3 linked regions of the Oryctolagus cuniculus genome follow. The protein of the gene in region 1 interacts with the protein of each later gene in a biochemical or structural test. Links are inferred from orthologs where the notes say so. Each region holds a gene or a part of one and is shown on either strand. Other genes may lie near its edges.

Region 1 (3,644 bases):
GCTTGTGGTTCTCTCTCTTTGCAAGTCATTGAGATATCTGACTCAATATAGAACTAGACCCTGTAGAAGTCTCGTCGATTCTTCCTCTTCCTGCTTCTTATTTCAATTAATTACATCACCTTCTACCAGATACCCCGGATGGAAACTGAAATCCTTACCTCTATTGATCATCTGCTCAGCCTCCAAGTGCCACCTTATCTAATGCAGAAATATTTCTTGAATATACACACTGTTCTTCATTAGGGCCCCACAGTAGTTCGGCTTTTGACGCTTATCATCCTCTGACTGTTGTCGCCTTGCTCTCTCTGTCCCAGCCACACAGGCCTCTGGCCCCTTCCTCTAGCAACAGCCCACCTGGAGTCTTTGCCTTGCAGTTGGTCTGCTTGCAGGTACTCTTCCCCAAGTATTTGCATGACTGTCTCTATCACTTCTTGCAGAATTTTACTCAGTTATCACCTTTTCAAGGAGCTCCTTAAAGACTGTACTACCTTAAATGGTAAGTCCCCAACACTTGCTGTCCTGCTTTAATTTTTACCCTGGTATTTGTTACTGTCTACCTGCTGTATCTTTCACTTATTTTGTTTATTGCCTTTTTACACTACTAGTAGCTAAGCTTCATGACCACAGAAGTTTGTTTTATTCATTTTGGTCAGTCTGGCTTCTAGAACAGTGGCTAGATTATAGTAGGTATTCAGTAATGAATGATTGAGTCTGATTCTTTCTCTGTTCAATCTGTTATCCACTGCCATCTGATTTGAGAAGCAGAGAGAGAGTGGGAGTGCATTCCCCCTTACTGGTTCACTCCCTGAATGCCCGCAATGGCTAGAGCAGGGCCAGGCTGAAGCCAGGTGCTGGGAACTCAACCCTCGTCTTCCACATGGGTAGCAGAGACCCAATTACTTGAGCCATCACTGCCAGTTCCCAAGGTGTGCACTAACAGAAAGCTGGAATCAATGAGAAGAGCCGGGATTCAAATCCAGGCTCTCTGATAGGGGATGCTGGCACCTTAATCGTTAGGCCAAATGCCTACTGCTGTGTTTTATCTTCTTGAAGGCACACGTTTTTATTAAAAAAAGTTTACTCTGTGGCTGAAAAATTTTTATAGCCTCCTCAATGTGTATTAAAAAAAAAAAAAAAAAAAGGAAATTACACTCCTGAGGAAGGCCCTCGGCCCCAGTCCAACTTGCTGGACTCACTTTTCCATCATGTCGCACACACTACAGCTGCCCACAAGTTCTGGTTGTTTCTTCTCGCACCTCATGGCCTTTGTACAGGCTAGTCTGTTGGCATAGAGTGTTCTACCTTCTCTCTATATGGAGAGTTGCTTATAACAGCTCTCAACATTGTTCATGCCCCTTACCCTACAGTTCTTACACAATAGTAGACAGAGATATTTAGTAGAAAACATCAATTTGTGTTAATTACCTGTTCGGCCTTCAGTTTGGGCTTCCTTGCTAAAGAGTCCTCCACTCACAGTTAGGATCTGTATCTTGTATTTCTTGCCGGGTGTCAGATCTTCAAATTTGTGCTGCTTGGCGCTGGCTGGCTCGGACATGTTGCTCAGAAGAGCTCCGTTCTCATTCAGAAGCAGGATATCATATCTCTCTGCCACACCAACAGCTTTTTGCCAACTTATTATTAAGGAATCACTGCTGTATGCATTGGTTGCGGTGATTCTCTGGACAGTTGCTGGAACTGCAGAAACAAGAGAAGCCATACAATTCAGATTCTGTCACTTAGGGCAAAGCAACCGATGTAGAACGTTCCCAAGTCAACTGCTGATCACGGACAATGCCTTTGCTTTATGTGTGTGGCACTGACATATAAAGAGAAAGTATTTCTTGGCTTGAATTCTCTGAATAGCTAGTTTGATTTTCCATTTCCTCTCTGAATTTAGACAGGATCTTAAAGTCAAGCAGGTGGAAAAGTTAGTGTAAAAGATGTTGATAAATATGGAACAGTGTCTATAATGGATGAATATTGAACACATTTACATACAACAAATGTAGCTTAGATGCTTGGAGCATGTCTTTTGTTTTCATTTTTATTCCCAACATCAACTCCAGTAAAAATTTTAATTCTTGACATAAGCAGTAATATTCTCATAATAAGGGTACAGTTGTCCCTTGGCATCTGTGGGGCACTAATTCTGGGTCCCCCTTGGACATAAAAAAAATCCCAGGATGCTCAAGTCATGGTGTAGTATTTGCAGAAACTATGCCCATCCTCCCATATACTTTAAATCATCACTAGGTTACTTACAATATCCAATACAATATAAATACCATGTAAATAGTTGTTACACTACATTCTTTAGAAAATAGTGCCAAGGGGCCAGCATCGTGGCATAGCACGTTGGGCTTCTGCCTCATATGCAGGCATCCCACATGGGCACTGGTTTGGCACCTGGCTGCTCTACTTCTGATCCAGCTCCCTGCTAGTGAGCCTGGGAAAGCAGCAGAGGGTATCCTAAGTCCTTGAGCCCCTGCACCCATGGAGGAGACCAAGATGAGTCTTGGGGCTCCTGGCTTCAGCTTGGCCTACCCCTGGCCTTTGGGACCATTTGGGAAGTGAAACAGTGAATGGAAGATTGCTCTCTTTCCTTCACTTTCTCTAATGCTGCCTTTCCAATAAAAAATAACATCTTAAACTGTTGAAATCTATTTTATAAAGAAGAAAATAGTGACAGGAAGAGAAAGCTGTACATGCTTAATACAGATGCAAATTTTTTCCCCTGAATATTTTCAAGCTGTGAGTAGTTGAATGCATGGATGTGGATCCCCCAAATAGAGTGGGCTAAAAGTATTTGTACTATATGGCCCCTGATGTAAAAGGCAAAGTAGAATTATTTGTTAATAAAATATTTCTGATCTGAGATTTGTTTCCTCCCAATCTCCTTAATCTGTTCTATATAATCTCCTTAGGAGATTTCATATCCTCTGCTGGTTTGGATTGCCATCCACACAGTGATAACTCCTAAATTTAAACTTGCAGCTCAGCGCATTCTCCTGTCTTTGCAAATTACATTCTCCCTGGATGTTCTCCAGTCACCCAATACTCACCTCCCTTTCTGAATCTCCTCATTGTCTGTTGTTCCTAAGTTTTGGTCCAGGTAAAAACAGAAACAAAAACACGTAGTTTGCCACTCTGCTCCTTTTACATATATATCCAAACACAAATATCTTGTCTCTTCAATTCAGCTACTCTCTCCTTCTTCACTGCCGCAACTTAAGACAAAATCATTTCTTGTATCCATGATTGCCACAGTCTCTTGACAAGCTCCCTGGTTTCTTTTCCTCTCCATGTGTCAAACTCCACCCTGTATCTATGTATTCTCACAGCACTCCCATGTCGGCGGCCCTTAAGTGGCTCTCGGCAATTCTCAGACACCTTGCCAGACGTGGGGCCTCTGCATGACTTAGTCTATCTGCTTGGCTGGCCACAGGGTGTGCGTTCTCTACGCTAGCATAGTATGTAGCATGTAGGTCATGAGATGCGTCCTGCTGCTTTTCACTTCCAGGCTTTTGTTTTTCCTATTGGCACCAAGAAAGTTTACATTTCACCTCAAAGATGTCTCAGTCTCTGTTTAAACCTTACTTCCTCCTGGAAGCCTTTCTGACTCTTGTTTGTTTGCTGCCATAACG
Region 2 (3,532 bases), on another chromosome or scaffold:
TGAGCCTGCTGCTGGCCCTGGGCCAGGCTGCAGGGCTCAGCTGGGGCTGGGGGACAGACAGGAGGCAGCCAGGCAGCAGCCCTGACTCTGAACACATCCAGACGCTCCCTGGACCCCGACACCCCTCTGTCCTGGGCTGCCTGGGAGGAGTAACGCCCCCTCCCCGCAGGCTCCATGGGTGCTTGTGGCCAAGGTGTATAACACGCTCGCTCCCTGGCCATTTCCAGAGAAGCTGGGGGTGTATAGCGTACCCCTGAGTCACCCCCAGCCAGTTCCACAGGAAGTCATTACAGGGAAGAGGTTGGTGACTAAAGGGAAAACTGACACTCTCCCCTTTCCAGCAGTCTGGAACACTGCCCCCCCCCCCCCCAGTTTTCAACCCTGGCCAGCCTGGGGCCAAAGGTCACCAGGGCTGGGCCAGGAGTCTGCTGGGCTGGAGGGGGGTCGGTCCCAAGCAGCCCTGGCTGGGCCAAGGCAGGGGCGAACAGAAACACGGTCACGGTCATCATATACACATCTCTATATTTATATATTAGATACAGGCACGGGGGCGGGCGGGGGCGCCCCCACTCCCGCTCACCCACACACAGAAGCAGCGAGGACGTTAATGTGGCAGCTTTGGGGGGAGGGGCTGAGGCCGGGGTGGGGGGCCCTCTCCTCAGGGATACTAGCCCTTGAGACTCAGGAATGTTCCCCCAGGGAGATGGGGGGGGTAAGGGGGAGGGGGCAGGGTTTGCCCTGAGTCCCTGCTCAGTGTCCCCGCCCCGCCCCGCCCCTCCGGAGGTCCAGAAGGACCAGCCTGGGATAGCCAGGGTAGATGGAGGCAGAGCTGGGGGGAGATCTACTGTGGGGTCGCCCGAGGCCCTCAGGCCCTGGCAGGAGCAGGGGGGAGGGGGCTCTTGGCCTGTCTGAAGCAGGAGCGAGATGGGGCCAGGCCCACACTCCGCCCCAGCCGGGCACAGTGTCCGTTTTCTAACAGTCCGAGCGTAGAGGGGCAGGCAGCAGGCAGGCCCTAAGGGAAAAGGCAGACGGGGGAGGAGCTGTGAGACCCCACGGGGCCTCACGGCCCCCCAGCCCACGTCGGGTCTCCCTGGCCCCTCCACCAGCGGAGTGAGGACAGGGTCCTCTCCCAGGGTGAAGCTACAGGTGAATGAACCCGCGGAGGGCGTGGAGGGCTGGATCGGCCCTGGCTTGGAGAGCACAGCAGCCTCCAGGAAGTGGAAGTGCATGGGCGAGGCGGCTTGCACAATGGCAGCTCTGCGGCGTGGGTCGGCGTGGGTCTGGGTGGGCCCGCCGAGGCCCCCGGGTGTGGGAACGGCTGCCCTGAGTGGTGAGGAGGCACCTGGCTTGGGCCACCTGCTGCGGGGCCCCACCTGTCCATGTGGGCGAGCAGAAGTGTGGGTCAGCTGCCCACAGCGGGGACGGGGCCCCAGGGGCCGCTGTGGGTGCAGTGTAGACAGGTGGGGACTTAAGGGCCTGGGTGGGTCATGAGTCTGGGCACCTTTTGTCACCACCGTACAGGTGGATCAGGGACGCCAGGGCTGGCTCGCAGTCGGTGTGGGGTGAGAGGGCCACTCACCAGGCCCCGGGGACAGGGCTGCCGCGCAGGCTAGGGCCCCTCCGGAGCCCCCGGCTGGAAGCGGGCCGTCTCCTGGAAGATGAGCTCCTTCAGCCGCTCCTTGGGTAGATCATCCAACTCCATGTCGAAGGTGAAGGGCTCCTCGGCCACCGGCTACACAGGCAGAGACAGGAGGGCTCTCGGGCCAGGCCCCGGAAACGCCCACGCCCCCAGGCCCCGGAGACGCCCACACCCCCAGACGGCCCCCCACCACCACCCCACCACCGCTGCCGCCGCCGCCACGGCACCTCGTCCGTCGGGTCATAGTACTGTTCCAGGTAGGGGTGAGCCAGGGCCTCCTCCACAGTGATGCGCTTGTTGGGGTTGAAGGTCAACATCCGATCCAGCAGGTCCAGGGCTGGCAGAGGGCGGGAGTCAGGGCTCACGGAGAAGGCGGAGGGGGGAGGGGCTCCCGGAAGGGGAGGCTCCCTTTGCTTTTCGGCACCCAGGGCCCCGTCCACACAGGCAGGTGCCCGGATCGTGAGCCCCCGTCCCCACTCAAGGTTTATCCTCCCTGGGCGTGGCGTCTCACTCACCTTTGGAGTCTGACTTGGGAAACAGCTTGGCCCAGGCCACCTTGGTCTTGGCAGGCAGGGACTGCAGGTAGTTCCGGGCCTTCATGTTGATGATGCAGTTCAGGTCCTCCTGGGACGGCGAGCCCAGGATGCCTGGGCAGAAGGAAGGCAGGCGACTTGGTGAGACCTCGCCTTCCTCCTCCGTCCTGGGATACAGAGGCAAAGAAGCCCAGACAAGCACCCCCAGCCCAGCCACCTGCCTCACAGTGAGAAGGACAAGGGGTCTGGACCCAGGCAGCCTGGGTTCAAATCCTGGCCCTAGCACTTCTTTAGGTGTGACGGCTCTCGGCCTTGCTTTTCCCATCCACCAAATGGGGATAGTTGTCTCTGCTCACGGAGATGCTGGGAGATGCTGGAGAAGTTCCACAAGTGGTGGTACCCCTGACTCTGACTCTGACCCTGACCCTGAGCCTGAGCCTGAGCCTCCCCCGGGTGGGTCAGGCCCCCTCACCTAGAATGTGGTTGAGCTGGTCCAGGTAGTGCTTGCCAGGGAAGATGGGCCGGTTGGAGAGCATCTCGGCCAGGATGCAGCCCACAGACCAGATGTCGATGGACTTAGTATAGCCCTGGGGATGACAGGAAAACAGTGCTGCACTCCCGAGCCAGCCTCGGCAGGGCCCTGCGGCCTGGGCCAAGCCACCGCTTCCAACCGAGATCCGGGGCAGAGGCCTGGAGAGCCGGTGCTCAGCTTCCTTCCAGAGGCCACGTTGCAGAGGGTGGACTTCCAGAGCCTCGCTCAGGGAGGGTGGCTCCAGGGCCGCCCTGGGGGCCTGAGGCTTTCCCTTCCGGGCTGCCAGGCTTGCCTACCTTGGAGTTGAGCATGATCTCTGGGGCCCGGTACCAGCGCGTGGCCACGTACTCCGTCAGGAAGCCGGTGTGGTCATGTTCAGGGTCTGCAATGCGGGCCAGGCCGAAATCACAGATCTGCAATGAAACCCAGGCTGCTGAACGCAGGGCTCGGGGCCCCTGCAGGCCCGAGCACTCCCACTCCTCCCACAGCTTCGCCGCGGCCAGCCGCGGACCTTAAGGTCGCAGGTGGTGTTGATGAGCAGGTTGGAGGGCTTCAGGTCCCGGTGGAGCACGTTGGCCGAGTGGATGTACTTGAGACCCCGCAGGATCTGGTAGAGGAAGTAGCAGATGTGGTCGTTGCTTAGTTGCTGGCTTTTGAGCAACTTGTACAGGTCTGTCTCCATGAGGTCCTGCACGATGTAGCTGGGAACGGCCCGAGACCCCGCCCCTCCCCCAGGCAGGGGGCAGGGGGCAGGGGGAGGCACGCAGTTAAGGAAATCAGGTTCTGGTGATGCGGCTGCACGTCCCCGCACGTCCCCTCACCTGGGGT
Region 3 (4,357 bases), on another chromosome or scaffold:
CAGGCACATATGGGAGGTCTTCTATGTTTTAAGCGTTACACACACTGTTATTGTTGCCTACCTTTGTTTTGGAAGGGACACATTTCTTTGTCTACTTTGATTTCCACAAGTGTGAAGTGGCCAGAATGGTGATTTTTCTGCTTACGTAAGAACATGGGGGCTTGTATCAGAAAGATTTGGAAAACGAAAGTGCTCTGTTGCAGGTATTTTGATTTATTTATATAAATATGAATGTAGGTATTCCAGGAACAGATGCACAACCTGGCATCCGAGATAATAACAAATAACAAAAGACCCAGAAACAGTCTGTTTTACCTAAAAATATGTGAAGTGCCTGATCAAGAGAGAAATTATCCTATTACTACTCCCAAGTTGTGTGTGTGCACACAGAGCGGCTAATTAGATCAATAAATACACAAAGTAATATAGTCTGCTTGAAAAACAAAGTTTGTGCTGCAGGAGAGCTTGCACATCTCATTTATCACTATACTTATCACAGTGACATTTGCTTTAGGAATGAGTAAGAATGAAAGGGGGCTGAAAAGGGGCTGGCATCATGGCCTGTCGGGTGAAGCCGCAGCCTGCCAGCCAGCGTCCCATATGGGGGTCCTTTGGGGTCCTGGCAGCTCCACTTTCGCTCCAGCTCCCTGCTCATGTGCCTGGGAAAGCAGCAGAAGATGGCCCAAGTCCTTGGGCCCTTGGATCAGCTCCTGGCTCCTGGCCCCAGCCTCCCCCAGCCCTGGCTGTTGTGGCCAATTGGGGAGTGAACCATCAGATGGAAGACCTCTCTCTCTCTGCCTCTCTTCTCTCTGTGTAACTCTGACATTCAAATAAATAAATAAATCTTTAAAAAAAGAAAAAATGCATCTTAAATAAAAGAATGCATGGACACAGCAGACTTCTTTAGTATCCTTTTCCAATTTCATTTCCTGTGGTCTCGATGCTGTTTTTTGATATGCTACCTCCTCTGCTTAAAGCTTAAGGTTGGGGTGCCAGATCTCCATGTGACTCAAAATAATGCATGTTTAGGACTGAAAGATGGTGCTGAAAAGCCACTTTCCCTACTGCTGTCTTAACTCGCAACTAGGCCCCCGAATCCCACGCTGGTGTCGGGCCGTAACCGCACAGGTGTAAGCATTTGGCGGGAACGTGACTCAGTGAGTGTCCCGCGGGTTCTCGCCGCACAGATCCACTCTGCATCACCTCCAGGCCCCCTCCCCATGTGCATGGAACGAGAAATGTGTCGTGCACCTGCTAGTTGTTTTTTTTTTTTTTTTTCCCATACCCTGCATCTCCTCGGCGTCTTTGAGCTCTCCCTGTGCTCTCAGAGGAGCGAGAGCTGCCCCAAGCCGGCCACACCTGTGCAGCCCTCACGCGTGCTCGCGCGCCCCGCGCGGCGGACTGCGGCGGGAGACCCCGCCTGCGGGCAGGAGGGAGGCGCACGCACCCGCGCACGGGCGGTCCCACCTGGCCGAGGCCCCGTCGCCCTGCGTCCCGCAGACGCGCGTGGGCTTATTCGAGAAATTTCGGTCCTCTGGCCGCGCCGCGACACGTGGGCCCGCACTTCCCCCCGCCTCCCCCGCCCGTAGCTTCGAGGACGCCCGGCTCCGCGGTCCTCTGGGGGCCTGGCCGGAGGCCTGACCCCTCCCTGGGACGCCGAGGCTGCAGCTTTGGCTTCCAAGCACCGCACCGACCCTTCCTGCGCCGCTGGGTGTAAGCCGCCACCCTGGTCCGCAGCAAACACGGCCCCGGCGCTGAGAGTGATACCACCGCCGTCCAATCAGAAAGGAGCGTTTCGCTCCCGGCCCCGCCCCGCGCTGCCCACGGGACCAATAGGCGTGCAGGGAGGCGGGGCTCGAGCTGTCAAGTGGCCCGGGTGGGCTCGGCCGCGCCAGGAGGGGCGCCGGTGCGGGGATGCGCGCCCAGGTGCTCACCGTCGCCGCCGACGGGGGAAAGCTGTAGGGTCGCGCCGGGCTGCGGTGGAGCAGGTAGGGGCCCGGCGTGTCCCTCGCGGCAGGTGGAACAGAGGCTGCGTGGTCCGCGGCACCCCCAAACCTGCGGTTTCGCAGCTCTGGTGGTGCGGGACGGAGGCCAGGCCGGGCTGCGGGGACGGGCGGCGGCGGCGGCAGCGGCAGCGGCGCCCCGGGGGACCACGGCCGCGGGGCGCCGGCGTGTGCGTGGGCCGGAGCGCGGGTCCGCAGCCGCCCGCAGCCTGCACAGCCCGGTCCGGCCGCGGCAGGGGGCGACGCGGCCTGTGAGCCCCCGGGGCGCGGGCACTGGCGGCCGGTCGGGCTTTTTCCCCGTGGACCGGGCTGGGCGGCGGCGGCCGCGCACGCCGGGAAGACCGCCTCACCTGTGTCTACACCCGGGGCTTCGTGCGGGATGCTGCGGGGCCTGCGCACGGCTGTCTGCAGCTGCTGCGCGTCCAGCCCCGCGGCCCCCGCGCGGTGGCTGAGCCAGCCCGACCTTGCGGGCAGCGCTCTGGGGAAGAGGCCTCGGGCGGACGCGTTTCCGTCACGCACGCAGCGGTCTGTGCGCGCCCGCGCGCTGGCCGGCGCCGTGGGGACCTGAGCAGCCCGGGGTGTGGGCTCCGCGCGGGGCCGCCTCCGTAGGCTCTGCGGGCCCGGCGGCTCGCCCGCACCTTCGTGGTTTCCTAGCGGGCGGATGGGGCGGCGCTGCGGGGCCTGGGGACGGATCTGCTTTCCGGGGTGCGGGTTCCCTCCCCCAAAGCCCACTGCAGCCACGGCGGCACCAGGCTGAAGCCAGGAGCCGGGCGCGCAGTCCTGGCCCGCGCTGGGGGAGGCGGGGACCCAGGTCTGAGCTCAAGGGCTGTCTGCACTGGCTGGGAGCTGGGGTCAGGAGTGCACCCTGGCCCCAGGCCTGTGGGTTCCCCAGGTGCTGCCTTCTCCCCTCTGCCCTCCTCCAGGGCGGTGATGAATTTCATTGTACCGATTTTGTTTCTGGGCTTGATATTTAAATGTGGGCTGCTGACTCACCTGTCTGTATCCTGTGGACTTCGTAGATGTTTCTGCATGGATTTTTCTCGTGATCCGGAGTTTTTATTGGTGTTGATAGCATCTCTATTTTTTTTTTTTTTTTAAGATTTATTTGATTGGCAGAGTGAGAGACAGAGAAAGAGCGATAAAAAGAGGTCTTCCATCTGGTTCACTCCCCAGGCGGCTGCAGTGGCTGGAACTGGACTGATCTGAAGCCAGGAGCCAGGAGCTTCTTCCTGGTCTCCCATGCTGGTGCAGGGGCCCAAGGACTTGGGGTTGTCTGGATGGGATGCAGGCACTGCAGGCAGAAGCTTAACCCACTGCACCTCTGCACTGGCCCCAACATTTCCTTAGAGGAGAAAAATAAGGTTTGGAGGACACACGTGATGTGCTTAAAGGCCTACCCTACGGTGTGTTCCTGCTGCGAGGCACTTGGCTTTCAAATGGGGTAATTGTTAGCTGGCCCAGTGTTCAGTCATGGTAACAGTGTGCAGTGTTGGTACCAGTAACAGTGTAAGTCACACTATTCAGTTACAGCTTTCCATGTGTAAAATTCAGTTCTAAGATGGTTAGATCACAATTTAACTTGTCAGGTTATCTGGAATATGAGTGGTTTAATCTGCCAAGCTAACCATCACAGGTATTGGGAGCTTGCTTTTAATTTTGAATCTTCAACTTGGTGATGATCTGATTTGGGGCAAGTTAATGAACCTGTTAGAGTTTCCTTTTTTTTTTTTTTTTTTTTTGACAGGCAGAGTGGACAGTGAGAGACAGACAGAGAGAAAGGTCTTCCTTTGCTGTTGGTTCACCCTCCAATGGCCGCCACGGCCGGCGCGCTGCGGCTGGCGCACCGCACTGATCCGATGGCAGGAGCCAGGTGCTTCTCCTGGTCTCCCATGGGGTGCAGGGCCCAAGGACGTGGGCCATCCTTCACTGCATTCCCTGACCACAGCAGAGAGCTGGCCTGGAAGAGGGGCAACCGGGACAGAATCCGGTGCCCCGATCGGGACGAGAATCCGGTGTGCCGGCACCACTAGGTGGAGGATTAGCCTATTGAGTCGCGGCGCTGGCCTTTTTTTTTTTTTTTTTTTTAAAGGCAGAGTGGACAGTGAGACAGAGAGAGAAAGATCTTCCTTTGCCATTGGTTCACCCTCCAATGGCTGGCGCACTGTGGCCGGCGCACCACGCTGATCCGATGGCAGGAGCCAGGTGCTTCTCCTGGTCTCCCATGGGGTGCAGGGCCTAAGCACTTGGGCCATCCTCCACTGCACTCCCTGGCCACAGCAGAGAGCTGGCCTGGAAGAGGGGCAACCCGGACAGAATCTGGTACCCTGACCAGGACTAGAACCCGGTGTGCCGGC

The links.
Region 2: of the proteins of PTPRB (region 1) and MAPK3, one has a biochemical effect on the other in vitro, tested with the Homo sapiens proteins (2 studies listed by IntAct). The link is inferred for Oryctolagus cuniculus from reciprocal best matches to the Homo sapiens genes PTPRB and MAPK3.
Region 3: the proteins of PTPRB (region 1) and CNTN1 form a complex in vitro, tested with the Homo sapiens proteins (2 studies listed by BioGRID). The link is inferred for Oryctolagus cuniculus from reciprocal best matches to the Homo sapiens genes PTPRB and CNTN1.

What each region holds. Positions count from the first base shown.
Region 1 is NC_091442.1:73,094,074-73,097,717, forward strand, and holds part of PTPRB (receptor-type tyrosine-protein phosphatase beta), read right to left. Parts: intron 1,696-3,644; coding exon 1,426-1,695; intron 1-1,425. UniProt on the Homo sapiens protein: Plays an important role in blood vessel remodeling and angiogenesis. Not necessary for the initial formation of blood vessels, but is essential for their maintenance and remodeling. Can induce dephosphorylation of TEK/TIE2, CDH5/VE-cadherin and KDR/VEGFR-2.
Region 2 is NC_091450.1:7,469,131-7,472,662, forward strand, and holds the end of MAPK3 (mitogen-activated protein kinase 3), read right to left. Parts: intron 3,406-3,532; coding exon 3,216-3,405; intron 3,118-3,215; coding exon 3,001-3,117; intron 2,760-3,000; coding exon 2,645-2,759; intron 2,287-2,644; coding exon 2,155-2,286; intron 1,977-2,154; coding exon 1,867-1,976; intron 1,733-1,866; coding exon 1,610-1,732; 3' UTR 1,580-1,609; intron 1,013-1,579; 3' UTR 506-1,012; downstream 1-505. Other genes in the region: lysophospholipase D GDPD3, read right to left, coding at 1-97.
Region 3 is NC_091440.1:132,215,758-132,220,114, forward strand, and holds the start of CNTN1 (contactin-1), read left to right. Parts: upstream 1-1,489; 5' UTR 1,490-1,988; intron 1,989-4,357. UniProt on the Homo sapiens protein: Contactins mediate cell surface interactions during nervous system development.